Linked DNA regions of Cricetulus griseus. The protein of the gene in region 1 purifies or fractionates together with the protein of each later gene. This does not show direct contact. Links are inferred from orthologs where the notes say so. Each region holds a gene or a part of one and is shown in the gene's direction. Other genes may lie near its edges.

Region 1 (7,109 bases):
GAACGACCCTGCTAACGTATACAGAGGGCAAAACATTAGATGTGTGCTTTGGGGATTGGCACACATCTGTAATCTTGGCACTTGGAGCAGTTGGAGGCAGGAGGATCTCCCGACTTCAAGGTTACCATTTGAGGTTAACCTGAACTACATGAGACCCTTTCTCAGAAAACAAAATAGGCTTGTGTAAACAAGTGAAGAGGCAGATGACAAATAGAGGAAGTCGTAAATTAAACACTTTTGTTTTCAAGTTAATGGCAAAGTGAAGTAGTAGCTCTGCGGTAGATAGGCAAACACAAGTGTTGAGCAGGGTAACAGCCTGAGGCCTTCCAGGCAGTTTCCAAACGTGCTTCCAGCATCTGTGTAGCAGTGGGCGGCAACCGCGTTTGAGAAAAAGCCAGTGGAGCCCAAATCTGTCGGGCAGAGGCTCCCTCAGTCTGTGGGTCACTTGGCCAAGCTCCTCCGCCTCACCGTCAGCCCTTTCTGCAGACTGCAAGTTCACCTGCCATTACCGTTGTCGTGCGCTCGTCTGCCTGGACTGCTGCGGGCCCCGAGACCTGGGCTGGGATCCCGCACTGGAAAGGGACACGAACGTGGTGAGCTCGGGGTCGGGGTGGGGGGAGTGTGGGCGGGGAGGGGACCTGGGGCTCGTCAGCCCTCCCTCAGGGGAGGTACCAGGCGCCGCACACAACGAACCTCCCAATTACCGATTTCCCGGCATCAGGGAGTCCACTTCTGCTTGTGGGTCTGTCAGGAGCTGACTCCACGCAAACACCACGGCCCACAAGCCATTGGCCGCGAAGTCGCGCCCTGGCACGCTACACGCGCACTTCTCACACCCCGCTTCCGGCCCTGAGGCAACGGCGGTGCACATGCGCGCGCGCACAGACACTTCCCTCCCTCTGGGAGGCGGGGCCGAGTGGAGATGCCTCAGAGATGAGGTCATTCCTCGGGGTGTAGCGTTGTGTCCCCGCCCCTCGCCCCTCCCACCATCGCCCCCCCCGCCGTACCATCAGCTCCAGATTCTGGTTGTCTAGCCCTAACGGTCACCGCGCGTTGCAGGCCTCTGCGCAAGCGCGTACAGACACGCTCACACGCACGCACGCACGCACGCACGCGCGCGCCCGGGGCGGTGGTTGGAGGCTCCGCACGCAGTGGACCAGGGATCGGGCGGGCAAGGCGATGGGTGAGGCTGAGACGCCTTCCTTCGAAATGACCTGGAGCAGCACGACCAGCAGTGGCTACTGCAGCCAGGAGGACTCGGACTCGGAGCTCGAGCAGTACTTCACGGCGCGGACCTCGCTGGTCCGCAGGCCCCGCCGGGACCAGGTGGGAGCCGCCCCGGGGCGGAGGGGGGTGCGGCCGGCCGGCCAGCCGGCGGGTGAGGGGCGGCCGCTCGAGCCCCGCCCGCCCCTGCCCGCCTCTCCGTGAGCCTCCCGGCGGGGCCACACGGAAACGGCCCCGGGAAATGTGTGTAGGGCTCTGCTCCTGGTTAAGCCGGGGTCCAGCGCGCTGGAACTGAGTACCCGGGCTTCCCTGGCTTGCGGTCACAGACCGGTTGAGCCAGGGCAAGCAGCTGCGAAGCTTGGGTGGACCCCAGGCGGGCGTTATTCACCCATGACTAAAGCCAGCCTCAGCCCAAACCCGCATCTTGATTTCGCATTTGGGCGCTCCTACTCCCTCCCTGGGGGAAATAAGGAAGTGGAGGAGGAGTCCGCCGGGAAGTGAGAAGTTTGTTTGGGAGGGGACCCTGTCCCTTCCATTTTCAGTCTTGGATCAGCCAGTAAAGTCCCCAGCCATTGCTGGGCCAACTCTGACACCAGATGCTGGGATGTAGACAATTTTCCGATCTTCCTTAACTTTGCTGGGGGGGGGTGCATAGTCAGATAGATGATCTTTGCCTTGGACTTTAAGCATTAGGAGCGGGAAGACTAACTGTAAAGTGTACTACCAGGGCAGCTGAATCTCTCTTAGAGTCTCCTAGATGTGCCACATTATCAGAGACTTTTCTGGGACTGTCGTGGTTGTGACCACCACCCTCAGATAATTTATTCTTGAACCTGAATACCTCAAAAGAGCACAGAGGCTGGGGCATCGGGAGAGTGAGGTGGAGACCGAAGGTTAGTAAACTTAGCAGCAGCGAAGTAGAATTCCTTATTTGAGCCAAAAAAAAAAAAAAAAATGGAGTTGTCTGTGGTGGTGGTGTAGGTGAGATTTTGCTACAGATTTTTTTATAGATGGGCTGCTACTTGACACCCAAAAAACTTTAGTCCAGACTGTAGATTCAGTGTGGGCCCCTGGGACTGTCTCCGTGCCACGCAGCCTGAGTCATCTTCTCTTATGGAAAGGTGGAAAAAACACAAGGTACTAGCCAGTTGAAAGGTATATGAAGAATTGTTAAAAAGCAGCTGAAGTTTGTAGCAAGTTCAGTTGGAGGATACTTATCTAGCTTGCATGATGGCCTGGCTTCCATCCACAGCATCGTTAATGAACTAAAATAAATAAATAGATTAATAGATAAATGGGAGCTGAGAAATAAGGTAAAATAAGGGCTGGGGATATAGTTCAGGGATTGAGCACTTGCCCAGCTTGTGTGAGGCTGTGGGTTCGATCCCCAGCTGAGACAGTGGCCATCCCAGCTGTGTTTGTACCAGGACCTTTCTGATGTCAACAGGAAGACTGAGGCAGTAAGGCCAAGTGAGTTTGGTTGAAGAAAATCAGTTCAGAGTCCTGACTGTTCTGACCCTCTCCACCCTGCCAGCAAACACCCAGTTCCTGAAGAGCTAAAAAAGCTTCAGGCTGAGTTTCCAGACAGCAAGGGGAAGAGCATCCTACCTGCTTGGTACTGATAGGATGGCCTCTGCCAGAAAGTTGCCTGCACATCTCTGGCAGATTAGAACCTGGCTTGACGCTGCCTTTGGTGAAGCTTGAGTCATGGGTAAATGCTATGTGACAGTGATTTCTCCCCTATGTGAGATGTGGTGGGGCTGGCCCCGTGTTGGTATTACAGAGATCACCTTTTCCCTCCTGCCTGCTGGTAGTTAGACTCCTGGTGTGTGTCAGCTCCCATGCTTCGCTCCCTGCAGTGCCTCAAGTTCTGTGCTGGTACAAAGTGGGAGACTTGGGCTGCCTTCTCCAGAATAAACTTTGACCCTACTGGTATTCTGGGCTCAGTTGAGATACGGTTTTAATTTTATTTGGGTGGGGGTAGTACTTGGAATGGAAGGGCCTTTCACTTGCTAGACAAGTACTCTGTCACTTTTATCCCCAAGAAGTGTTTTTACTTTAAACAACATTCCTCCCTAATAGTCCTTCATGTTTTCCTGGCCCCTTGCCATGTGCCTTTATTTGTCTTTATTTCTGTAATGCTGTTAGGGGCCATAACCAGTGCTGAGGTGACCCACCCCCCAGACAGCAGAAAGCCAAATGATTCTTTGTTGTCTTCATCTATAACATGCAAAACTGAGAGCAGTGACAAATTCAGGGGGTTTGGGTTTAGTGACAGGGCCAAAATCAAGATCCAAGGGGTGTTCTGGCTTTTTTGTTTTTTCCACCAAAAAAGCCTTGCACTTTTTTTTTGTATTTTTTTTTTTGTTTTTCAAGACAGGGTTTCTCTGTGTAGCTTTGGAGCCTATCCTGACACTCGCTCTGGAGACCAGGCTGGCCTCGAACTAACAGAGATCCGCCTGCCTCTGCCTCCCGAGTCTGGGATTAAAGGCGTGCGCCACCAAGAGCCCAGCTAAGCCTTGCACTTTTCAAGGACCCTGTATCCATGCTGGCCTGTCTTTTAGGACGAGCCTGTACAGCGGGAGACACCTGACCTTTCTCAGGCTGAGACTGAGCAGAAGATCAAGGATTACAATGGCCAAATCAACAGCAACCTTTTCATGAGCCTGGTGAGTTGACTGCTCAGGCTAGCAGTGTGGGGAGGAGCAGAACCCAGCTTTGTGCCAGATGGCTAGAGTTGTAGCCAAAGTCTTCTTGGTTGGCTCAAGCCGTGATCTATGCATACCTAGCCTAGCCCCAGGTGGACTCAACCCTAGCCTCTTCCATCTCCAGTAGAATTTCCTGTCATGGTATGGTTTTTCTTTCTCTTTTTAGAACAAGGATGGCTCCTACACAGGCTTCATCAAGGTTCAGCTGAAACTGGTACGTCCTGTCTCAGTGCCTTCCAGCAAGAAACCGCCTTCTTTACAGGACGCCCGGCGGGGCCCAGGGCGGAGCACAGCTGTGAGGCGCCGCACCTCCTTTTACTTGCCTAAGGATGCTATTAAGCACTTGCATGTTCTGTCACGAACACGGGCACGTGAGGTCATTGAGGCCCTGCTGCGCAAGTTCATGGTAGTGGATGATCCTCGCAAGTTTGCGCTCTTTGAGCGAACAGAGCGTCATGGCCAAGGTAGGTTTCCTATCCCAGCTCTCCCTGTGTAAGGTATATATCCCATACCTGTGCATTCAGGGGCTGGGGCACCTGAGCCTGTTTCTAATTCTTTATCCTTTCCCCCTGCCTGACCTCCAGTGTACTTCCGGAAACTGTCAGATGATGAGCAGCCCTTGAAGCTACGGCTTCTTGCAGGGCCTAGTGAGAAGGCCCTGAGCTTTGTCTTAAAAGAGAATGACTCTGGGGAGGTGAATGTGAGTACATAATCTTTCTTATTTTCTTATCACTAGACAAAGCTGGTAGTATGTAGCTACAATGAGGGTTTCAGGAGAAACTGGGCTGGAGAACAAGCCTGCACAACCTCTGTAAGAATATACAGGTCCCCGAAATTAAAGTATGGGTTTCCAGGACACTCAAGCCAAAGTCTAGAGCCTATCCCAAGAAACTAGGAAGAAACTGAATCTAGTGGTTCATACTTGTCATTGTGGGGCTTGGAATGCTGAGACTTGAGGCTTGCTAGGAGTTTGGGGTCAGTCTGGGCCACAAAAGCAAGCGAAGAAGAATTTTCCTAGCACTTTGTTGTTTCTTGGTGTGGAAATTGCTCCAAAGATTGAGGGATTTGACTGACTCATGGTGAGCCAACACAAGTTCAAATCTACACAGGTGTGGGCTTAGAGATGGCTTGGCAGTTAAGAGTTAAGAGTACTTCCTGCTTTTCCAGAGAACCCAAATTCTGTTTGAAGCACCCATGTTAGGTAGACCACTTTCACCTACAACTCCAGTTCCAAAGGATTTGACTTCTTCTTCTGGCTTCAGAGGGTAGCTGTACTTATGTGTGCATAACCCACACAGACACACACCTATAAAATTAAAACAATGGGGCTGGAAAGATGGTTCAGTGGTTAAAAGCACTTACTGCTCACACAGAGGACCCAGATTAGGTTCTTAGCATCCACATAGAGGGTTACTGATGCCCGTAATTCTAGACCATGCACACAGTGCACATATATGCTCACAGGCATATATATGTTTGTACACATGTCCACAGAAGTCAGAAGATGTTGGCTTCCCTGAAACTGGAGCTAAGATGATTGAAAGCCAACATATAGTTGGTGGGAATTGAACCCAGGTCCTAGCAAGAGCAACCGGTGCTCTTACCCACTGAACCATCTCTCCAGCCCCTAAAAACAAATCTTAAAGAAAAAAGCTTCACAGGTATAACCAGGAAACAGGAAGGCCTACTTTCAAGTGTTAAGACTTTTTACCAGCTAGGCACGTGAGGTCATTGAGGCCCTGCTGCGCAAGTTCATGATAGTAGATGATCCTTACAAGTTTGCACTCTTTGAGTGAACTGAGCACCATGGCCGGAGGCCAGGCTAAGCTACATAGCAAGGTCCTATATCAAAAAAGAAACAACAACAAAAAACATTCTTCCTAGCAAGGCCTAGTGACACTGGCCTGTAATCTCAACTACTTGGGCTTCTGAAGCAGAAGAATCACAAGTTCAACGTCTTCCTGGGGATATAAAGTAACCTAAAGGCCAGTCTGGGTTAACTTAGTGAGATGCTCTCTCAAAAAGTAAAAGGATTTGGGCCATAGTTCGGTGGTTCATGTGCTTAGCATGTTACATGCCTTTGGTTCATGTCTTAGGATTCCTATTGCTATGATGAAACACCATGGCCAAAAGCAAAAGGGTTTATTTGTACACTTCCACATCATAGCCCGTCATTGGAAGAAGTCAGGACAGGAGCTCACACAGGGCAGGATCTGATGCAGAGTCCATAAAGGGTGCTGCTCACTGGCTTGCTCCCCCTGGCTTGCTCAGCCTGCTTTCTTATAGAATCCATGACCGCTAGCCCAGGAATGGCCCCACCCACCATGGGCTGAGCCCTCCCCCATCAATTACTAATAAAGAAAATGTCTTACAGCTGGATATTATAGAGGCATTTTTCTCAAGGTTTCCTCCTTTCAGGTAATACTCGCTTGTGTCAAGTTGACCTAAAACTAGCCAGCACAATTCAACTCCCAGTAATGTTATAAAAAAGGCTTCTCACATAGGGCTCAGTGTGTGGCCCAGTGGTAAGAATATATGCTTAATATGCGTAAAGCTCAGCAGCAAAAGAAAAAAATCGGGATGACTAGTGGGCTGCCTGAGAAGGTAGCTTGAAGTAAAGAAAAATGTAGCTTGTTTACATTTATGAGACTCTGGGTTTGGTTCATAGCCCATTGTATTGTGGCAGGGGGAGACAACAGGTATTTGAGAACATGCCAATTTTTTTTTTTTTTTAAAGATTTATTTGTTATGTATACAGTGTTCTGCCTGCATGTATCCCTGCAGTCCAGAAGAGGGCACCAGACTACAGTACAAATGGTTGAGAGCCACCATGTGGTTGCTGGGAGAAGGGGCAATGCTCTTAACCCCTGAGCCATCTCTCCAGCCCCCTGTGTCTATGAGATAACTTTTTTTTATAAGATCTGTCTTTTATGCAGACTTCTCATGAAGATCCTAGCACAGACTATTTAGCCAAGAGCCTAATGTCAGCCTAGCATACTGATAAATACTTGCAATAGCAGCATTCAGCAAACAGACAGGAGAATCACAGATTTGAGACTAACCTGGGCTACATAACAAGTTCAGGGCCAGCCTTCGATATGTGGCAAGACTGTAACTCAAAGAACAACAAAAAGGGGCTAAAGAGTTGGCTTAGTGAAGAGCATGGCATCTTCACCC
Region 2 (7,566 bases), on another chromosome or scaffold:
AAGCCACTTTTACTCCATTGTCTAAGGAAATGGGGGTGGGGATGGCATTTATTCACCAGAACTTGATTTCTTACTGTGCTCCACCCACTGGATTAAGAGCCCCTGAAGTCTCTTTCATCACACAGTCACAAAGTCCTGATTCTTCCCGCTTTTGCAACAAAGGGACTGAACATAAAAAGAAGAGCCAAATTACTTGTTTGAAGTCACAGGGGTATAAAGTAGCAGTCCCCATTGCTAGTCTGTGTTCTGCCATCATGTCTCCAGTTTGCACAGCAAGGGTGAAAACTGGAGTGGTTTATGGTCATGGTTTCGTTGTACAGACCACCACAGTGAAGCAGCCCTTTGGTTGCACTTTTCCCTTTTAATTGATTGCTTGATTAATGTGTGTGGAGGTCAGAGGACAATTTTTGGTAGTCTGTTCTCTCCTTCCACTTGTGGGTCCTGGGGACTGAACTTCCTAGGTTCCCAGGCTTGGCAGCAAGCACCTTTACCCACTGAGTCATCTCATTGGCCTCCTGTTGTCCTTACATCCAATATTCCATTGCAACATATGGAACAATTCAGTTAGTGCTAGTATATTTCAACACTTTCTGATTTTGTCTAAGATAGTACATACCTCAGGCTCAAAATTGAGCAAATAGGAACAATTTATAGCAGAAGTTTAACAGTATCTTATTTTCATTCTGGATATTTTGAGGACTACCTCCTATTTATTTGTGATAGTAGTGTTTCTATGTACACAGAAACATAGACATTTTCCCCAAATAAATTTAAGTAAAATAAATGAGGTAAAAGAGCACTGATATCAACTTGATTATTAATTTGATTGGGTTGAGAGACACCTAGGCTATTAGTAAAGCACACCTTAGGGTGTGTCTGTTGGGGTGTTTCTAGAGGATTAGCTAACAGGATAAGAACTACCTTGGATGTGGTTAGCACCACTCCCTAGACTGGACACAGATGGAAGAAATGGGGAGAAGCAATGTGTCTGCTTCCTGGCTGCAAGGAGGTGAGCAGCCCTCTTCCATTACACACTCCTCCCACCACGCCGTTCTGTCCTACCTCAGGACAAAAGAAAAGGAAGGAACAGACCATGGCTGGAAACAGGAATCTGTGAGCAGAAACAAATCTTCCTACACCAGTCTCTCACAGGAATTTGTGACAAAGAGTACCATAAACACTCCCCCACACATAGGAGTAATGGTGGTTCTGAGAAATGGAAGAAACTCACCTGATGAAGCCATTCTGATGTTGTTCCCCTCCTCACCCTCACCATGGACCACCCCACTGCCCTAACCTAAGTAGCTGCCTGTCTTCACCAAACATCAGGCAGCTTCCCACTTAAATAGTTTCTTTTCACTGGTGGCCAAATCTCCGCAGCAAGCTTGTTGCAGACCCCTAATGCCATATGTCAGGTAACTTGAGTCTCCATTGACCAGACTAGCATAGTCTTTGGCAGCCCACTGGATAGCCTTTCCAGGCTTCAAGAAAGAAATAGGGCAAAAGACATGTAACTAGTAAGTCATGACAGAGAATACTTAAAGACACTGGGTTGTTTTGAGAAATCTTTCAATAGGTGTTTTGTTTTGTTTTGAGATAGGGTCTTATGTATCCCAGACTGGTTTTGAACTCATCAGAAGCCGAGGATGACCTTGAACTTTTTTGATCCTCCTTGCCTGAACAGCCTGAGTGCTTAGACTACACTGCCCAATGATAAGGATGCTGGAATGGGCCTGCTTTCTACAAGCTGAGCTACAGCCCCTCCAGTTAGCATTTTAAAACTAGTATATACTCTAATAATAAGTGTATTGACTACACCTATTTCCATCTAACTTGCTTCCCTAAAACTCTAATCCCCAGTTTGTATAATAATGCAGTGTTTGCCCTTCCCTCCTGTCCTAAGACAGAAATATATTCATTAGATTTGTGAAAAGTGGATGTATATGGTGGCCTTTAGAAACATTATTATGAGTTCTTCTAAATATAGACAAAGGGAATAAAAACTCCCAAAGCTATGTGTATCTTAAAAGACATCATTGTCACACAAAATAATTCTGCCTGTGTATCCCCAAGGAACTGAAAAGCACATTATAGTCACTGTAACCCTGCTGGGCAGAGACAGTATCTTCTCTATTCTTTGTTATGCCTGATGCTATCTGTTCAGCATATTAATAAAAAAAGAAATCTGTATCTAACATAATATGTCTGCCTCCTCTCGTTCATTTCCCATGAGCACCAAAGGACAGTTCTTTTCCAGACTAGACTCCAAAGCCTGAACGTATTAGGTTTAGGGCTTGCAAAGTATCCTTTAAGGTGGTAAATATTCCTGTTGTTTGAAACAAACAAACAAAAATGACAAGTACACCATTCTAAATCTACAAGGTCAAAAAGGCAGATTCCAGTCTTCTTGAGTGGGGTACCCTAACCCAGGGCCCACTGTGATTGCTGCAGCTATGCAAATCCCAACTTCACGGTGAATGGGACACAGGAAGAGGCCTGATGTGCATTCGGGACTCAGGACATAATCCCACTCTGAAACAGGAAGTCATCCCCTCTCCGGTACAGGAGAGTTGATGGTTTGGGGCAAGGAAGGCGTGTGTAAGGAAGGGTGGTGGTGCGGCCCGCCTCGGGGCTACAGCAGAGTTTTTTGGGTCCCCCAGAGCCTGGCTCCCGGCCCTGCCCAGACTATTGTCCACACACCTCGTCCCTCCAGCTTCCGGGCCGCCGGCGAAATGATTTGCTGCAGATGACATCAGCCCTGGGCCAAGGGCTACAGGAGTGGAGGCAGCTACCACGAGGATGTGCCGGGTGGTCCTTTCCTCCTCCTCCTCTTCCTCCACCTCCTCCTCCTCCTCCTCCTCCCAGGCTCCTAGCCTAGTCTCCATATAAACGGCACCGCCTCCCCGGCCTCTCACTCCCCACTCCTCTCTTCCGCGCCGGGAGAGGGCGGAGGAGGAGGCGACGCGCGCGCCGGGAGGAGGGGGGACGCAGGGGGCGGAGCGGAGACAGCACCTTCGGAGATAATCTTTTCTCCTGCCGCAGAGCAGAGGAGCGGCGGGAGAGGAACACTTCGCCCAGGCTTTAGCAGCGCCCGCAGGATGGCGACCGTGGTGGTGGAAGCCACCGAGCCGGAGCCATCGGGCAGCATCGCCAACCCGGCGGCGTCCACCTCGCCCAGCCTGTCGCACCGCTTCCTAGACAGCAAGTTCTACTTGCTGGTGGTGGTCGGCGAAACCGTGACCGAAGAGCACCTGAGGCGTGCCATCGGCAACATCGAGCTGGGTAAGCAGTCCCGCGGCCCCCCAGGGACGTGCGTAGGTAGATGCGCCAGAAGGACCCCACCCAGGGCGCGACCGCCACCTTGTTCTCCCGCGCGCCCCGCACCCACGCCTCTCCAGGCCACATCCCACACTCCATCTGGACTCTTTTCTGAGCTCATTTCCAAATATTCTATTTGAGACCCAAAGAGAGAATCTTTAATAGCCCGAGGGATGGATCACCTGGCTGGGTCTGTGGCCGCCCCCGACTTGGCCACCTCCTCTCGTGGTCAGTGAAATGCAGGTGTCAGAGGAGCGGAGGCCATAATAAAACCACAACCGCAGAAAGGGTGGGGTGGACCTAGCATAACCTCTCTTTTCAGCTTCCCTCTCGCCCTAGGCAAAGGCTGAGACCCTCCTCCCCTTACCCGAAAACCTGGGGTCCAAATACCATGTGCCAAGGCCCTCATGGAAATCGTCCTTATCATAGCCACCCTGTGCAACCCGCCCTTGACACCACACACACACACACACACACACACACACACACACACACACACTGAGAATGGAGAATGCCCATTCTGACTTTAAACTTCCAGATCCTTTCTTTCCTGGGAATGACTAGGCTAGTCCTAGTGCCACGCCCGCCCCACCCCACCCCCACCCCCCAGGACACAGGCATGGAACCCGTCTGCATTCGGTTCCCAGACGAAGTCCGGCCTCGTCCTGCCCCTGAGGTCCTGGCTTCAGCTTTCAGAAAGGACAATGGGACTCCAGGGTGTGGGGTGGGCTTTTTTGAAAAGTCTCAGCTTCAGGAACCATAGCTTGAATGGGAAGAGGGGGTGGCGGGGTAGGGCCAGCTCCTGGGCTGCTGCGCGCACCGGGAGCGGGCTCTGCAGAGGAGGAATAGCGGTTCCCGGGGAACCCTGGGCGGGGCTGGGAGGGCCCGGGAGGGCCCGGGAGGACGGAGTCTCGGGCGGGCACGATCGGCCCCGCCCTTCATTCAGCCCCACCCTTGATTCAGCCCCACCCGGCCTGCCGCAGTGCCCGCACTGGGCAGTCGCACCTGCCCCCGCACTGCGGCGCCCCCGGCTGGCCCGGAGCTCACTCTGCCCGAGCTGCGCGCGGTCGGGGGGCCTTGCGCCCACCTTTGGCTGTGAGCCGCTTTGTTGCGCTCCCAGCCCCTCGGTGGGCAGCTCTGGCCTCTGCCTTATTCCGCCCTCCTCCCCATCCTTCCCTTCACTTCATCCCTGGCAGAGGTCGCTGGGTCCCCGAACAGCGCAGCCTGAGCGCTCTATTCTCTCGGGGTGGTGCTGAAACGTTTCTGCCAGGAGACACCGGCTGGTGGGCGTGGTGCAGTCCGCACTGCGGTCTCTACGGCAGCCCGAGGCGGACAAAGGGCGTTCACGCAGCCCTCCTTTCCCGCTCCCACTCACGCCAATAAAAGATGGATGAAATGATTTTGGTTTAGATGAATAAATAAATAAACAAAAGCTTGTTACCTGCCTCTGCATTTGGAAATGGCCACTTGTCCCCAGAACAAAAGGCTGCAGGGTGGGGACTGGAGTTGCAGACCCGGTTCTTTTGTTTAACTTTAAAGCACGGATTTTCCCTTTCAGCTAAAAAGAAAACAACAACAACAACAACAATAACAACAACAACAAAAGTGAGCAGAAAGCCAGTCATGATTTTTCATTCGGAAAAAAAAAAACAAGAATAAGATTTCAGAAGTGGAATGCTTTATCTGAACGTCTCAGTAATCCATTTTCAGGCTATAAGCCTTTGATCTGCTTCTCAAACTGGGTTTATTTGCACATTTTATTCCTTGGAAAATCACACGTACTGACTTTGGGTGTGGCTATTGTGGGAATTAATGACTGGGTGTTTTAAAATTATTTTCTTTATGTAACATTGCTGGGAAATAACATATTAAGAAGTGTCTGTTCATCTCCAGAATTTTCAGGATCACCTATTGTGGTGCCAAGAGAGGAATCATCACGCCCATTTTTAGAGATTGGGTACGCAGAGAGGCAGGAAGGGTGAGGGACAGACTCAAGGTCATATTGTGAAGCAGTGACAGGAGGACCGGTACTGCAGTGTCACTACTTGCTTGGCCGGGTCAGATGGTAGTGCAGGCAGGCTAACGTCAGAGGAAGATTCAGCAGGCGGTTTTCAGACCTTGTCTTTGTACAGTCATCCACTTGTGGGCAGCGCTCAGTGCAGGGAGGTGGCTCGGCCATCACCTTCTGACTACAGTTATTTTCCTGCTTTGTTACTGGCCTGATCGTCCTTTGCTGGGGTTTATTCAAGCCTCTTTCTGTCAGAGGAGAAAATATGCTGCCAAGGAATTCTGTGATGTTGGTCCTAGCTTTATTTTGTTTTACACTGCCAGCATTTAGTACTAAGATCCAGATTTGTCTTTCTAACAAAAAATAGTTTCAATTTAAAAAAAAAGCACAAACCATAGGCTAGCAGTTCACTGAATTTTCACAAAGTGAGCATACCTGTCTTGTCCAGATAAGAAACAGCCATAGTCATCCCAGGAGCCACCCCGCCCACCAACCCCAATGTTCACTTTGCAATCAGCATGCTTTTTTGATTTTTAATTCCCTAATTTGGTCAGATTTTTCCATAGATCTCTGAAATGGTTATATCGATCTCATTAAGAATCAACCAAGTGTGTGAGCACAGCCCTTTCCCCCAGGGTAGTAACAGATGTTGCTGATCCTCTGGAGAGTGCTCTCCTGGGTCCAGGGGTCTCCTATGCAGCTCACATTGCCCTGCCTTTCAAGGAGAAGTGAAAATCCTGCTTCCCAGGATTTTCAGACAGTGGGAGATGACTTAGCAACAGGGAGGCAGGCTCTGTTTCTTGGCATGACACACTGCTGCTTTAGAGGGCAGATTGCAGCTGGGCCTCCTCCAGAGGTCACTCTGATGCCACTGCTATTGTTGCTGGTGCCTGCAGGCTACATTATGTGAAGCAAGATGGAGCTGCTCCAGGGGGCTCAGCTCTGATTGTGAGCTGCCTGCAGGCTGGGAAAACAGCTTCTCATCTGTTAGCTTTCTTATTTCCCCTTCCTTTCCCATCCAAACTCAAGCACTGTGCAGTTAGAGACCCTGGAGACTGGTATATTTGCCATCTGATTGATTACCCAGGGCACTCTGAAAAATAGTCTCGACTCCTGCAGAGGGATGGTAAATAATGTAGTAAAAACAATTGGCCTGAAACACCCCAGTATGGATGCTAAGAGCTTCTTGAGCCCAGGGAAGAAAAATGGTTGCTCTTACTTGCTCAGTTGTGTTCGAAAAGCACAAAGTCAAAAAGAGTTGATCATTTCTTTCCCCAGAGCTTCAAACAATAGTGTTTCCTTACACTGGTCCAGCTACACTGATGTAGTTATATAGGACTTGATTCCACCATAGTGACTACCACCAACTGACTCATTTGTCCCTCCTCAATTAGCCCCAATGTGGCGTTAGCTTAATTTATTTTTAGAAAAATGCTGTCATTTGGTATATTTCAATACATAGGCTCTACACAACAATAACCTGACAAACTGAATTTTAAAGCCTGGTGCAATGTGTTTTCATTGTTTCATGCCATTCTTTTTAAAGAAACTAAGCCATCTACATGTTAGCTTGAGGCTTTCAATTACTATTATAAGGCAACTATCCCTCTAGGTGACACTGGGAATGAACAAGATGTGCTCCTGAGAAAATAGATAACTGTAATATCCACTGCCTTGGATCTTTAGATGTGAGTTGAGCTGGTTACAATCTAACAGTCTGATGTTGCTTTACCCATTATGCTTCTGTCCAAGATGGCAGGCCAGGAAATTAAAAGCCTGGGAAAGCTTCGGGATTTAATTTTCATTTTCTTCTAGCAAGGAAAAAAAAGTGAAAACCATATATGGTGGGAGTTAAAGAGATGCTAGAATGTGTTACTTTTATTATATTTGTCTTCACACTTCCAAAGTCAGAAGGCAGATGGATTATTTTGCTTGCGCTGCCTAATTGGCGTTACCCACTAAGGGCTCTGTGATCCAAGTTAAAACACAAGCCGGTCAGTCCTCAAATGGAAGGTCATTAAATTGGTGCTTTTCTGTTAACCTTCCCTGAGAACTTACTTCCCAAAGTAACCTCTAACTTTTAGATTAAGAAATAAATTCTTATAAATCACTGTTTGTTTGCTTCTGTTGTAAGATGTTATCTAAGACAGTGAGTTTTTCACTGCCAATGCTTTGAAATGATGTTCTTTAAGATGTCATTTGCATTACACACAAATGTGTTACAGACATTAGATTACAGG
Region 3 (7,866 bases), on another chromosome or scaffold:
CAGGTTGGAGGGGCCAAGAGGCCACGGCAAGACTGAGCTAGTGACTATTTTATTGAGAACAATCAAACTTTTTCTCCTGCCCCCCCAAACTGAGGACCAAATCCAGGGCCTTGTGCTTGTTAGGCAAGTGCTCTCCCACTAAGCTACATCCCCAGCCCCACAATCAGACTTTTTTTCTTTAAAGATTTATTTATTTATTATGTATACATTGTTCTGGCTGCATATATATCCATGCAGGCCAGAAGAGGGCACAAGATCTTATAGATGGTTGTGAGCCACCATGTGGGTGCTGGGAATTGAACTCAGGACCCCTGGAAGAGCAGCCAGTGCTCTTAACCACTGAGCCATCTCTCCAGCCCCACAATCAGACTTTTATACTTTAATCAGAAACAGAGGCTGAGCCGTGGTGGTGCACGCCTTTAATCCCAGCACTCGGGAGGCAGAGGCAGGCGGATTTCTGTGAGTTCAAAGCCAGCCTGGTCTCCAGAGCGAGTGTCAGGATAGGCTCCAAAGCTACACAGAGAAACCCTGTCTCGAAAAACAAAAACAAAAACAGAAACAGAATATAGTGGCAATTGCCAGGGTCAATACAGTTATAGTTGCCAGGATACAGTGATGTTTGCAAGTTGTACAGGGTACACAAGATTAATGTCTAAGACCAACTGTCCTGCCCAATGCTTCATTGACTTCTAAGGGAACACACAGAGAAACACAAAAAGCCTGAATGCCTCACTGACCGAGAGAGTGCATCGCTCTCTCAGGAACTGAGAGGACACGATGCCCCAGGAGCCATGGACTTGAACCTGAAACACTGAAGGTGCTGCTTGTGAAGGAAGCTAGGTCAGGCCCACGCCATGAGTTCCCGCAGCTCCCGACTGGTGCAGACTGAGGGGGCGTGGCCTGGGCTCAGCCCGCAATTCCTCCAGAGACCGGCAGGGGCGGCATGATGCCGGTGGGACTCTAGAGCGTTGCGGGACTCTGGTCGCTGTCAGAGTGATAGCAGGGTTGAGCTTGGTGTCCCACATCTGCCAGCCGATGGAGGCGGGAACATTTTAACTTACAGGGGAGCCTGGTCTATGTATGCCTAAAACCCTCTAAGGAGGGGCTGGGGCATGGCTCAGGGGCAGAGTGACAGCCTCGGATCCTTCAGGGAGGGGCTGGGGGCGTGCATCAGGGGGTAGAGTGACAGCCTAAAACCCTCTAAGGAGGGGCTGGGGGCGTGGCCCAGGGGTAGAGTAACAGCCTGGGATCCTGAGCGGAGGGGCTGGGGGTGTGGCTCAGGGATAGAGTGACAGCCTAAAACCCTCTAAGGAGGTGCTGGGGGCGTGGCTCAGGGGTAGAGTGACAGCCTGGGATCCCACAGGGAGGGGCTGGGGGCGTGGCTCAGGGGTGGCTGCCTAGAAACCCCCAGTGAGAAGCTGACACGCGGCTCTGGATCCTGTGGAGGTCCTGTGTGTCCCCAGCAGTGGAGAGGGTTGTCTGATTGAAGTACTTGGGAGTGTTACAGACACAATGTCTGCCCCGAGGGTTCACTGCGTTTCCTCATCACTCGCTTCCCTCCCGCCACCCCGTCCCAGGGTATGAGGCCGCTGACCTAGTAGCTGACTGGATCTAGATGTGGACAGAGGAGAGCGACGTGGCCTGACTTCCGAGTCTAGTATTTGGAACTGACCAGTGATTCATCTTCTCGAGAAGAGCCTTGCACTCCCCACGCCTGGACCCCGAACTGCAGGGACAGAAAAACTCAAGGACACGAGACTTATTTTGAGAGTTTTACAGAACACTCATGCAAAGTTTAATGGGGAACCACTCCAGGCCCTCAGAGACCAGATTATGACATCAGCACTAACTGCAGGTGCTAGGCCCCAGGCCTGCCTTGCCCAAAGCCTGGAGGCTGAGGCAGGAGACCCGACAGTTTGAGGCCCCTGTGGAATACAGAGAGACAGATGGGGAAAAGGAAAACAGAGGGGCCTTAGGCGTCTGGAAGAATGCAAACTTCAGCTCCTGGGTTCATATTCCAAAGGACTGGTGACGGAGGAAAAGACTGAACAAGCAGACAGGCTGTTGGGTCCATTCTGCAAACCTTCACTCAGTGTCCCTTGCACAGGACAGAAACAGAGAGCACGAGGCTGCTGGTCTTCATCAGTTCTCCAGCTCCCTGGTTTTTTTGGTGGGGTCTCCCTGTAGCCTTAAGTGGCTTGAAGTTTTCTATGTAGTGCAGGCTGACCACAAAATCTGCCTACCTCTGCCCCCCATGTGCGGGGATTAAAGGGGAGCCAACATGCCTGTCTCTTAGTTTTGCTTTAAAGATTTCTTAGTATGTACACACACACACACACACACACACACACACACACACACACCCATGAAGGCCAGAAAGGGTCTGTAGATTCCTTGGAGCAGGAGTTCCAGGCAGTTGGGAGCTGCAGTGTGGGTGCTGGGAATGACTTGGGTCTCCTGCAGGAGCATCCAAGAGTTCTTAGCTGCTGAGCCATTTCTTATGTTGGTTTTAAAGGATTACCACAGGCTGCCCTGGTACTCACTCTATACTCCAGATTGACTTTGAACTCCCTATGTAGCCCAGGCTGTCCTTGGGCTTGCTCTATAGCCTGACATGGCCTCAGACTCTCCACAATCCTTCTAGTTCAGTTTTCTGAGATGAGTCTGGGGTGACCAGATGCAACGCCAAACCCAGGTCTGTTTCCATTATAACAGAGGAAAATACAGGTCCCAGCCTTCTCAGGCTGACCAGCCACAGGAGGAGTCAGGACTTGGGAAGGATACAGAGCCAAAAAGACAGGAAATTGGTATCCAGGAACCCTGGATCATGAGGCCACGGCTACATACTGACCAAGGAGGAAGTTGGTGTAGACAGGCCCTGACAGAAAATCAGCAGTGGCTTGGCTCTGCTTCCTAGTCCTTTTCACGTCTGTCCTGATTTGCATTTTGCTTATTTTTTTTTGTTTTGAAATATTCTCTGTGTAGCCTTGGCTGTCCTGGCACTCGCTCTGTAGACCAGGCTGTCCTCGAACTCACAGAGATCCGCCTGCTTCTGCCTCCCGAGTCCTGGGGTTAAAGGGATGAGTCTGCCTTTTTTTACTGTTTCTTTTTGATGCAGGGACTGGCCTCCTATTTGCTAGGTAACTGAGGCTGACTGTGAACTTCTGATCCCCCTGCCTCAGCCCCCTGAGTATACACCAGAGGCCGGGCTCACTCGTGAGGGCGGCCAGCGGGCACTCTCGGTCTGAACAGTTAACATGGGGTGGCCATCAAAGATAGAAGTGAGGCTGTTCCAGCCGGTTTGGATGGGAGTGGCACAAGCAGTGCCCATCAGGCTATATATAGTCCAAGTGGAACCAAAGCTTTTTGTAGTGTTGACTGCCTGCCGTCCCAGCATGTGGGAAGAGTGGAGGCCGGAGGATCATTAGTTCGATGAAGGCCGAGAGGCGGACTTAGTTGGAGTCAAATGGGCGCTAACACTAACAGGCCTGCTGATTTGACAGCTCCAAAATGTCCTTTCTCCTAAAATGACAGGAAGTGTCCTCTTGACTTAAATACCTCCCCATACTGTAACGTGTGTCACCACACCCAGACGCAGACACTCACACAGCAAACTCCTACACACCCCTCCAAGCCCTACCTGTCGGGATCCTAATTTAGGGAGCTGTTAGTTCGTATCAGAGTCTGGTTCTGTGTGGAGCCGCTGTTACAGGCTGACTTTACGGGACAGAACTTGTAAGAGTGTCCCTGCATGGGCGACTGGGCGAATGGGTGAATGAATGGATGGAATTTTGGCGGTGTTATCAGCCCCTCAGAACAGTGCTGTCTCAGCTCTCTACCGGCTCCCGAGGCTTCCAGGGCGCTGATGGGTGGGCAGGAGGGGGCGCTTCCGCCCGGGGTCTCCGGCGCTTCCGCTACGCCCCACGAAGGGGCGTGGCCAAACGGGGGCGGGGCGCCCGGGCGTCGGGGCAGCGCGAAGATGGCGGCGGTGATGGCGGCGCCCGAGGCTGTGGCGGCGCCGAGCTCGCTGCTGCTGCTGGTGGTGGGCGGCGAGTGCGGCTGCCCAGGGCTGCTGGCCTACGTCCTGGAGGAGCTGGAACGAGGTGGGGCTCGCGGGGGCCGGAGGGCCGGGCGGCGGGGCGTGCGGGTGGGGCCGGGGGGTTCCGGCGCGCTGCGGGCCGGGGTCCGGGCGGGGCGCGGCGTCCCGGGACGCCACGTTCCGGGCGCGGCCTGGGGTCCGGGGGCGCCGGGGCCCGCGCGCGCCTGACGGCCGCCTGGGCACATCCCGGCGGCGCGGCCACTGGGTCCGCGTGGGGCGCGGCGGGGGGGGGGCCGGATTCCGGGGGACAGGGTTCCGGGGGCGACGCGGGGCACGGGTGGGCGCCGTCTCCCCGGCCCCGGGGTTCCGGCGGGGTGTGGCTTCCTCTTGTGGCCCCGCCCCTGGCCAGGCTCGCACGTTCCCTGGCGCCCCGGGGCCTGCTTTTCCCGATGCTAATTGGCGCGTGGGTGGCGCGGCCGCCCTGGGGGCGCTTGGCACCGGGGAGCTGACTCAGGCGCACCTGTCACACCGGGGCGCCGGGAGGGGCAGCACCGCTCGCAACGGGGCAGCGAGTTCCAGGATGGCCTGGGCCACAAGACAACTTTCTTGAAAACAAGGAAGGTTCGGTAGGTAGGGGCGATGCTTGGCATGATGCAGACCCAGCTTAATCCCCAGCGTCCCTCGCTGCTCATCTCATAAATTCTGAGATGGAGGCAGGATAAGGGGTTTGTCCTCAGCTGGAGGCATCTTAGGGAATTTGCGCCCATCCTGGACTATGTGAAATACTGTCTCAAAAAACCAAACCCTGCGGGGCGTTGGTGGTGCACGCCTTTGATCCCAGCACTCAGGAGGCAAAGGCAGGTGGATCTCTGTGAGTTCCAGGGCAGCCTGGTCTACAGAGTGAGTCCCAGGACAGCCAGGGTTACACAGAGAAACCCTGTCTCAAAAACCAAAAACAAATAAAAAAAACCAAAACAAAACCCCAAATCCCCAGAAGAACATAGGATGCCCATCTGAATGCATGGTCTGAAGACTGTCTCTGACTGTGACAGCTCAACACAGGCAGGGCTTGGATTACAACCCCCTATGTCAGCCCTCAACTTGTGGGTCTCCACACCTTTGGGGAGTCGATTGACCCCTTCACAGAGATTGCATATCAGGTATTTACAAATCATAACACTACCAAAATTACAGTTGTGAAGTAGCAACAAATAATTTTATGGTTGGGGTCACCACAAAAAGGGTGACAGCATCAGGAAGGTTGAGAACCATTGGCTTAGAGGAACCTGTCTTAGAGTCTGAAGAGAGGTATCACAGCCCAGGGGAGCTCACAGCACTGGGAGTCTGAGTCAGCTGCCCCAGTGGCTGAGATGGCTGAGGAACAAGGTGCTCAGAAGCTGAGACTCCCATCAAAGCTGGGCTTGGCAGTATGTACCTGTAATCCCAGCTCCGGAGAGGCTGCTCACTGCCTCACCAGGTGATGACCTGAAGATTCAGTGAGGGACACTGTCCCAGACATAAGATGCAGAAGGTGAGGATCACACACACACACTTTCTCTCTCTCTCTCTCTCTCTCTCTCTCTCTCTCTCTCTCTCTCTCTCTCTCTCTCCCTCCCTCTCTCCCTCCCTCCCTCCCTCTAAGTTCAGGATCCTGGCAGGAAAGCAGGAGACCTAGGACAGATGGCCAGCCAGGCTTCCAGTCAGTGAAAGGCTGAGGCCTGCCTGAGTCCCTTGGGTCTGCCTGCCCAGGAACCAAGCTGTGGGGCCAGGACAGCCAGACAGGAGGGTGCTGGAGCTGAGGTCTGTCTCCTGCTGCCTGCAGGTCTTCGCTCATGGGAGGATGTGGACCCCACCATCTGCAGCCTGGATGAGCAGCTCAAGGCTTTTGTGTCCCGGCACTCGGCCACCTTCTCCAGCATTGTGAAAGGTGACCTGTCCCAGGATCCCTACTGCTCATTCACTGGATGCCAAGCTGCTGAGTGACAGCTGTATGCTGGGCATGGCTTGGGGCACCACCAAAGGCCCCTGCTACCCCTAACCTGGACATGCTGCCTCAGCTTTGGGTCAGGAAGAGCAGGGCCTATGCATGAAAAGGATACAGGGAGGACTCTAGGGAGGGGCCCTTGGGGAGAACCTACAGGGTGGTCTCAGTCAATAGGGAAGCAGAGATGGGGTACAGGAAAAGCTCCCCAGGGGATCCCAGGGTGGCCAGAGCAGCCGGTGGCTGCTTTGTGGGTATTTCTTGTAGCTCATCTCCTGGCCAGTGGATTGAGTCATCACCTGCAGCTGCTGGAGGGGAAGGAAGTGACCATCTAATTGTCCCTTTGAGTCACTGTGGCTTCCTGATCCCTGGAGAAAGAGCTGGAAATGCCATATGCTGTGTGACCTCCTGTGTACCACAGCCCCTCTGATAAGGCCCTCTGGGTAGTGACATAGCTCCAGCTGAGTCTGCTGGAGCTCTACAAGCAGCCTCACAGGGGTGGGACTGAAGTTGCTGTTTGCCCTTGGGAGCCTCCTGGCACCTCCTGGCTTAAGTGCTGAGCTGGAGCTTGTGCGAGGGTGGCCATCCTGGCACCAGTGCTGCTATCTTGGTTGTCTCTACTTGAGGCCCAGGCACCCCTCGCTTCCCATTTGCCCTCATCTTTGCTTACAGGATGTAGCACCCTGGTGTGAGTTCTGGGCTTGCATGCTTGAGGGTCCCTTGGTGGTGGCAGGATTTGCTATCAGGCCCCTGACTCTCTGTCATCCTGAACCTGTCATCCCTCAGGTCAGCGGAGCCTGCACCACCGTGGAGAGACCCTGGAGACGCTGGTCCTGCTGAACCCTTCAGACAAATCCCTGTGCGATGAGGTAGGAGCCGGTGACCTGGGATGTGTGTTGTCCTGTCCTCACACACGCCCCAGAAGATGTGCTTGATCCTTCCTGCCTCAACTTCCTGTCTCTAGTGGGGGTGGGACAGGAAGGCAGGAGCCACAGGGTACACCCAGCAGGCTGACCTGGGAGCTCTCCCTGGTGCCTAGGAGCCTTGGCTTTGGCTAGTCAGTCTGCACTTGTTATATACATCAGCAGACGTCAGACTGCTCTGGGGTTCTCCCTGCTGGCCACAGTTGATCCTTTCAACGTTTGTTTTGTTCTGTGTTTTTTGGGGATGCTGCTGCAGGCCTCACTTTTCCCACAGAAGCAGGATTAAGAGGTGATGGGTAACCTGTGCTTTCATAGAGAATCTTGCCTTAAAAAAAAAAAAAAAAAAAAAAAGCTAGGTGTGTCTGCCTGAAGCAGTCTCCTGCTAGAGTAGCCAGAGTACTGCTAGGCAGGTGATGTCAGCTGGTGCAGGAAGGGGGGCTGCAGGGAAGGGACTGTTGTGCCCACAGTGGGCCAGGCTCTGCTTCCCCTGCAGCCTCTCAGTTCCTCCCACAGCTCCGGAACCTCCTGATGGACCCTGCCCCTCATAAAGTGCTGGTGCTGGCAGGACCCTGCCTGGAGGAGACTGGGGAGCTGCTGCTGCAGACCGGGGGGTTCTCAGCGCAGCACTTCCTGCAGGTGCTGGGGGACAAAGAGGTGAGCTCTTCCCCTTCGCACTGCTCTGGGGTGGGGAAAAGGGCCCCCAAACTGCTCACCCAGACAGTGCTGTGAGAGGGAAGGTACAAAGAATGGGGCCATGGGCCAGGAGGGCCTGGGGATCGTAGTGGCAGGTTGGCGATTAGGAGGAGTGGTGCCCAAGTCCTTGGATCCAGGTGGCCCTGTGCTGGTCCTACAGGTCCAGGATGCTCTGGCCTCGGCACCCATTGCCCCACCGGCCCTCACCCTGTCCTGTCCGACCTTTGGGG
Region 4 (7,109 bases), on another chromosome or scaffold:
AATAACTCGATACAGTTTCTGTCATCAACTTAATTATTCCAAAATTAAGATGTTCTAGTGTTAACTTCTGACACGTCTCAGTATCATTTACTTAATGAATTCAGAAAATGTGCTAAATATCCAGATTTCTTCATGTTTTAAAGGTATTCGCTTTCTAGCTTAGAAAATCTTAACCGCTGAGCCATCTCTCCAGTCTTCTAGCTAAGAAAATCTAAGCTGTTCACACATTGTTTTCTGTAATCCATTGTCTTGCTTTGAGTTATCTGTTCTTAAAGGAGCCATAATTATAATTCCAGGCTTATCATTTTTCAGTAGATTCAACATTTGTGTGCATCTTTGGGATTAGATTATTTTTCAATTTCCACACCGCACACTTTTGCTTTCTAATTTTGAACATTGTACCTAGAACTGGGTAATTCTGAGAGTAGAAAGACAAAACTGTTAATTTAAAAATCTTTTAAAAGAAATTTGCCTTTGCATGTTTTGGAGTAGCATTTTTCTTTATTGTAATGAAATTGTGTTGGAATGAACAAAGATTCTTTTTTTTTTTTTTGATGCAGACTGCATGAGGCTTTATTGTTGTTTAAAGAGCTAACCCCATGTTAGCTCAGGTCTTTCACCCACCTGTCATGGCGGATGGCTAGCAAAGACAGCTAGAAGGGGCTGCAGAGAGATCTTGTAGGGCAGTGTATGGGGAGTGTTTAGGGGTATGCACAGGCCTAGGATTGGTGTGCCTTCAGGCTTGGAGGGCTTGCCCTGTGTTGATTGGTCAATTGGTTGTTATGGCCCATAGGCCTTCCCAGGGTGGTTGCTATGCTCTGCACGTCATTGCTGTGCACTTGTCCCATAAGCACACCCAGAGCAGTAAAGCATAGCACCACCAGCTAACTTCTGATTGGTTCCTTCCCACGAGACAGGCATCTGACTTCTAGTGACTAGGACAAGGTCATGGCGAGCACGAGTTACTGTCATGGCTGCTGAAATGGGGAGCTGGTCCCTGCATTCCCCCACTTTCTTTTTTGGAAATTTCAATCATGGAATTGCTGTCTCCCTAGCGTCCCCATCAGGGAGTGAGAGATATTGGCATCCCCATGCAAGGGAGTTCCTTCTGACTTAGCATTTTAACCAGGGAAAATGGGCAGCGAATTCTTTCCCATGCTACTCCCTGCTGACTTTGGGACGAAGTTAGGGACCCATGAACAAAGATTCTTGGCAATACTAAAATCAAGTGAAAACCTAACTGCTGTGCTGCATGATGCTGTTGACTGCATTGATTTATTAGACTATTTTCAGTCTCACTGACATTGTATTGTATTTTCTATGACAATATACAGCATCAATTCAGGTGTTGCTGAGCTTATACATAGCACAGTAATACAGATTATAAATTTATTTGCTTGGGAAATTAAAGTACTAGTATTAAAATTAAATTTTTGTTTTCTGGAGCCCTTTGTTAACATATATAGCTTTAGAAGAGTGTACTTATTGAAATGGTGATCTTATTCTGTTTGATTATAGATCTTATGCCTTCATTTATTCGCCATGGTCCAACAATTCCAAGACGGACTGATATCTGTCTTCCAGACTCAAGCTCTAATGCTTTCTCAGCTTCTGGAGATGGAGTAGTTTCTAGAAACCAGAGTTTTCTGAGAACTCCAATTCAAAGGACGCCTCACGAAGTAATGAGAAGAGAAAGCAATAGACTGTCTGCACCTTCTTCTTACCTTGTCAGGAGCCTAGCAGATGTTCCTCGAGAGTATGGCTCATCACAGTCATTTTTAACAGAAGTTAATTTTGCTGTTGAAAATGGAGACTCTGGTTCCCGATACTTTTATTCAGATAACTTTTTTGATGGTCAGAGGAGGAGGCCACTTGGAGATCGTGTACAAGAAGACTACAGATATTATGAATACAACCATGATCTCTTCCAAAGAATGCCACAGAATCAGGGGAGGCACACTTCAGGTAACTTGACATAATAAATAGCACATTGGTTTATACTTACATTTTGATTTAAAAGGTGATCTTCTGTGGGTTTTCTTGGAAAGAAAAAAGAAAAAGAATTCCTAGAGAAAAAGAATTTCCATTTTGCCATTCTTGCTTCTGCCTGCTTACTAGTAGTTTTTAACCTACAATGAATGACAGAACTCTTGGGTCTGTTTACTGTGCTGTCATACTAAACTTGATGTTTATCTCAAGACCATATTGACTGTTAACACTTTGGGGCTTGAAAATGTGAAAAATTTAATGTCTCTAGTTAGATTGAAATTAGATTCAGATTGGATAGAATGAGAAAGGTAAGTGTGTTAGCAAATTTGTCTTAAACCTAAGAAAGGAAAAGAGAGGAGGAATTGACTGCTAGGTATACAAAGTGTGGGCCATTGCACCCTGAGTGATCTAGCACTGTTTTTCCAAACCTTACTTTTTGTAGTCAATTATTATTTCTCAGGTTGGTTAATTATGTGTGAAACCTGCCTTTTTTTTTGTAACAGGTGGGAAACATTATGTTAATGAAGAGAGCTGCACTTTTTTCTTCTGACCTGGAGGTACTCCTCCAAGAAGGGGCTTATGGAATGTGGTACCTCCACTTGATTCCTAAAGCTGCCATATGGGACCTGGGGTCAGAACCCAAGTCTTCTGCTCATTACTGTAGATGAACTGATGCATGCTAAGAAGAAAACTTTTCCCACTTAGTAAATTGTAGGCTTTAAATCTGGCAGGATAAAGATGAGGATGATTGGTGTTTTTTTGTTTTTTTGTTTTTTCTTTAATCAGACACAACTTATACTAAACTGACTGACTTAACAATTTGGAATACAAATGTTTTAGCAATAGGAAACTTATCTTAATTTAATATTCATTATGTGTCTAGCAGTCCCCTTGGGATACCTTATATTTAGAGAGACAAAACCAGCATACACACAATAGTCCTAAAATACCTTATGGTTATACTTTGTAGTACTAACTGTTAGAGGGAGTCAGAAGAAAGATGAGTGTTGGTTAGAGGAATGCATGCTCCAAGGAGCAGATAGAATTTGAATTAGTCTTTGAGCTTGGACTTGGCATTAACATGGTAGGAGAAAGACATTTTAGGTAGAAAATTGGGGATACCCACTGCAAACAGAGTAGGTGTGGTTTACATTTAGGAGACTATGTTCCTACCTATTTTAAGAAATGTGATGTAAGGTGAAATGGAGACTCATGGTCCAACAGAAGGCTGAGACTTGAAACAAAGAAACCATTGCCCATTTCAAGATTAAATGCTTGGAGGGAAGGGTCAGTGGTTAAGAGCACTGGCTACTCTTCCAGAGGACCAAGTTCATTTCCTAGCTCACAGTCCTCTAACTCCAGTTTGAGGGGATTTGATACCCTCTTCTGGCCTCTATAGGCACTAGGCATGCAAGCGATGGAGTATATGTTCTCTGCCATCAAGATCTAAAAGAGCATTAGATCCCCTGGAAGTGGAGTTATCGGCAGTTGTAAGCTGCCATATGGGACCTGGGATCAGAACCCAAGTCTTCTGCAAGACAGCAAGTACTATTAACCTCTGAGCCATTTCTCCAGCCCCCAGTGATTAGTATTTTAAAGCAAATTAATGAGGTACCTGCTTCAGACATTTGGAGGGACAAGGGGAAAATGGGACACATCCAGATTCATAGAACTAGGACCCCTGCTGGGCGATGGTGTCACACACCTTTAATCCCAGCATTCAGGAGGCAGAGGCAGGCGGATCTTTATGAGTTCGAGGCCAGGCTGGTCTACAGAGTAGTTCCAGGATAGCCAGGGCTACACAGAGAATCCTGTATTGAGAAAAAAAAAAAAAAAGATTTTAGGTTATAACCAACATCTGCTTTTAATGTCAGTAGACTTCCATTCTGAGTCTCTTCTGTTTAAAAACAAAAACATTTGCCTTTTTTTTTTGTTTGTTTGGATACAGGGTTTTTCTTTCTGTAGACAGAGTTTTTCTGTGTGTAGCTCTGGCTGTCCCCTGTAGATCAGGCTGGACTCAAACTCACAGAGATCCGCCAGCCTCTGCCACCTCAGTGCTGGGATTAAAGATGTGTGCCACCACGGAGAGGCTAACTTTTAAAAATTACATTTGTCTTAGTTTGGGTTACTGTTGGCATCGAGAGGGGGACCTTGGCAGATCCCATGGCAGGTGAGGGACAAACAGAGCATGCAGACAGAACTTATGTGGGAAGTTTTATTGGGGGAAGGAAAGGGAGACAGGGGAGAGTGAGTGAGAGAGAGAGGGGCAAAGACCTGCCTGCCTCTTCAGAGGAACTGTGGGAGAGAGCGGGAGTGGGCGGAGCTTGTCTCTTAAAGGGACCTTTTGCACCTGCATATAGAGACAGGGTATTGCCTGCCATGCTCGAAAGGGGTGATGCATTCTGACAAGTGACCAAGGGGTGGGGCCAACGTGTGTCTGGATGCTAACACCATGGCCAAAGCAACTTGGGGAGGAAAAGGTTTATTTGGCTTACAATTTCATATTATTGTCAAAGGAAGTGAGAACAGAAAGGGCAGAAACCTGGTGGGAGGAGCTGCTATAGAGGCATTGGATGGGTGCTGCTTACTGGCTTGCTCCCCATGGCTTGCTCAGCCTGCTTTCTTATAGAACCCAGGACCACCAGCCCTGGGATGGTACCACCCAAATTGGACTAGGTTCTCCCCCATCAATCACTAATTGAGAAAATGCCCTTCAGGCCTGCCTACAGCCTGATCTTACGGAGACATTTTCTCAACTGAGGCTCCCTCTGATTCTAGCCTGTGTTTACATGAAACTAGCCAGTACAATGTGTTCCTGCGTGTGCACATAGGTGCGTGGGCGTGTGTGGAGGTTAAAGGACAACTTGCAGGAATTGGTTCTCTCCTTCCACCTTGTGGGTCCTGGGAATCAAACTCAGGGACTAGTGCTGAGTACTTTTACCCTCAGACCAGTTGATCTCTGAAGCTTGCTGGCTGACCAGTCCAGCTGAATTGATTAGTTGGTCCTAAACTTTTAAAGTTTTAAAGATCACTAAGAAATAAAAATTTTAAAAATTAAACTGAAAGTATCAGACTTTATTTAAAAAGTACTGAATGTATTTATTCCAGTAAATGTACAAGCATTTAGTTAACTAGAATCATCTTGTGGAAGCTGATACTGTTTTGTTTTTGCCGAGCAAGAGAAGTAGCAGTTGTCTTAGTTCAATACGTAAAGCCCTTTACCAACATCCTAATTAATACACATGTAGCATTTGTTATCTGTTACTGTGGTCCTTGTGGAACTCATGGTTCCAGAACCCACTTTACTGTCTTTAGTAAAGACAAATACTGCTGGATTTGGAAACGAGAATTTTTAAGTGTTATTTACACATATAGGGCTCAGGCAGCTTCCTAGTTGTTAAGGTCTTTTGAGGCATTCCCAGTGAAGTTTGGTAAAGATGAAATACTAGTTGAACCTGAAGGGACCAGTTCCCCATTTCGGCAGCCATGACAGTAACACGTGCTCGCCATGACCTTGCCTTGGTCACTAGGAGGTCAGATGCCTGCCTCATGGCAAGGAACCAATCAGAAGTTAGCAGGTGGTGCTATGCTTTACTGCTCTGGGTGTGCTTTTCGGACAAGTGCACAGCAATGACGTGCAGAGCGTAGCAACCACCCTGGGAGGGCCTATGGGCCATAACAGCCAGTTGACCAATCAACACAGGGCAAGCCCTCCAAGCCTGGAGGCACACCAATCCTGAGCCTGTGCATACCCCTAGACACTCCCCTTACGCTGCCCTATAAGATCTCTATGCAGACGCCTCGAGCCGTCTTTCCTGGCTAGCCTCCATGGTGGGTGGATGAAAGACCTGAGCTAACATGGGGTTAGCTCATTAAACAACTATAATAAAGCCTCGAGCAGTTTGCATCAAGCTTTCGACTCCACCTGGTGATTGGGGTGACCTTGGTACTGGGCCAGATCCTGGAGGCCTGAGCTTCCGGGGGTCTTTCAAACCTTCTTGGAATATTCTGTCCTTAGCTTGTGAATGCTTACTTTATATTTAATGGAGCATTTTTGTACAGTTACAGCCATACAAACAGAAACTATTCATTTATGAATAAATGCCAGTTACTATTTTCTGGGACTAATTTAAATTTTGGAAAACTGAGTTTTTAAAGTTGTAGCTCAGAAACTGAAGTTCTTTTATTTTCTTATTGATTAATTTAAAATTGATGGCTTGCTTGCTTGGTTTTGTTTGAAGAGTTATAATTGATCTTTTGTTGCTAAAATGATATGGTTAGTAATGTTCATTATTTGATCTTATACAGTGGGCTTTGGTAAAATAACTTTCTCAAACCTTTTTCTCCTTTCATGTGAAATGGTAGTAAGTCTCTTTGCTTGAGTTCCTCATGGTTGTGGTATTGTGTGCATTTTACTCCATGTGTTAGGACTGGTTTCTCTCTTTGTGATGTTAGGTTTGACCATGCTCTCTCCATGTCAGCCTGGTTTCCCATCAGGAACTTCTCCAGCAAGCTTACCTGTTGGTTTTGGGGAGTGGGTGATGATCCTTTTTGTTGAGTATTGAAAACTGTGATACTTAATTCTATCATTTTTTCTGACTTATTAGAGTTCTAAAATAGTTTTAATAAACTTGATGGTTATTCATTTAGGAAAGATGGGGTAAACACTAGATCTTTCCTTTTATTTACTATTTTTCAGAGTAAAGAAGTGGTGCCCCAGCCACTTCTCCAAAGGTAAGTAATGAAATTTTTTTGTGGAGTATCTTCATGACCTCATAGATAACTTTTTTAATTCCAAGATTTATTTGGGTTTAACTAGGTTTTCATTAATATCCATTTTCTGTTCCAAGATCCACTCATGTCTTTGTAACCTTCTGTGGTCTCTGCCACTTTCTTAGTTCTTTTGTTTTCTATGATCCTGATAGTGTTGATGGTTTCATGTTAGACATTTTTGTAGAACCCCCTCAATATGACTTTGATATTTTCCTCCAGATTAGATTGAGCCTATTTTACTGGCTTTGAGAGGTGGAAGAGGGAGGGGAGAATGGGAGAGGGTTGAAGGAGAGAGAAAGAAAGAAAAATCTAGTGTGAAAAGATAGCCATGTGATATTACTGTGGTA

Evidence for each region.
Region 2: the proteins of ras association domain-containing protein 1 (region 1) and Map1b purify together in Homo sapiens (affinity purification with mass spectrometry; 3 studies listed by BioGRID and IntAct, counting the BioPlex papers as one, with this or other methods). This does not show direct contact. The link is inferred for Cricetulus griseus from reciprocal best matches to the Homo sapiens genes RASSF1 and MAP1B.
Region 3: the proteins of ras association domain-containing protein 1 (region 1) and Map1s purify together in Homo sapiens (affinity purification with mass spectrometry; 4 studies listed by BioGRID and IntAct, counting the BioPlex papers as one, with this or other methods). This does not show direct contact. The link is inferred for Cricetulus griseus from reciprocal best matches to the Homo sapiens genes RASSF1 and MAP1S.
Region 4: the proteins of ras association domain-containing protein 1 (region 1) and Sav1 purify together in Homo sapiens (affinity purification with western blotting; 3 studies listed by BioGRID, with this or other methods). This does not show direct contact. The link is inferred for Cricetulus griseus from reciprocal best matches to the Homo sapiens genes RASSF1 and SAV1.

What each region holds. Positions count from the first base shown.
Region 1 is NC_048597.1:215,735,763-215,742,871, forward strand, and holds part of ras association domain-containing protein 1, read left to right. Parts: exon of another isoform or gene 1-486; coding exon 487-593; intron 594-693; exon of another isoform or gene 694-916; intron 917-1,070; exon of another isoform or gene 1,071-1,179; coding exon of another isoform or gene 1,180-1,326; intron 1,327-3,788; coding exon 3,789-3,893; intron 3,894-4,098; coding exon 4,099-4,396; intron 4,397-4,516; coding exon 4,517-4,632; intron 4,633-7,109. UniProt on the Homo sapiens protein: Potential tumor suppressor. Required for death receptor-dependent apoptosis. Mediates activation of STK3/MST2 and STK4/MST1 during Fas-induced apoptosis by preventing their dephosphorylation.
Region 2 is NC_048595.1:318,290,524-318,298,089, reverse strand, and holds the start of Map1b (microtubule-associated protein 1B), read left to right. Parts: upstream 1-2,947; 5' UTR 2,948-3,098; coding exon 3,099-3,282; intron 3,283-7,566. UniProt on the Homo sapiens protein: Facilitates tyrosination of alpha-tubulin in neuronal microtubules. Phosphorylated MAP1B is required for proper microtubule dynamics and plays a role in the cytoskeletal changes that accompany neuronal differentiation and neurite extension.
Region 3 is NW_023276806.1:248,105,627-248,113,492, reverse strand, and holds the start of Map1s (microtubule-associated protein 1S), read left to right. Parts: upstream 1-3,942; 5' UTR 3,943-3,979; coding exon 3,980-4,103; intron 4,104-4,430; exon of another isoform or gene 4,431-4,665; intron 4,666-4,921; exon of another isoform or gene 4,922-5,570; intron 5,571-5,861; coding exon 5,862-5,966; intron 5,967-5,990; exon of another isoform or gene 5,991-6,708; intron 6,709-6,806; coding exon 6,807-6,889; intron 6,890-7,436; exon of another isoform or gene 7,437-7,456; coding exon 7,457-7,597; intron 7,598-7,796; coding exon 7,797-7,866. UniProt on the Homo sapiens protein: Microtubule-associated protein that mediates aggregation of mitochondria resulting in cell death and genomic destruction (MAGD). Plays a role in anchoring the microtubule organizing center to the centrosomes. Binds to DNA. Plays a role in apoptosis.
Region 4 is NC_048598.1:133,400,034-133,407,142, forward strand, and holds part of Sav1 (protein salvador homolog 1), read left to right. Parts: intron 1-1,518; coding exon 1,519-1,965; intron 1,966-7,109. UniProt on the Homo sapiens protein: Regulator of STK3/MST2 and STK4/MST1 in the Hippo signaling pathway which plays a pivotal role in organ size control and tumor suppression by restricting proliferation and promoting apoptosis.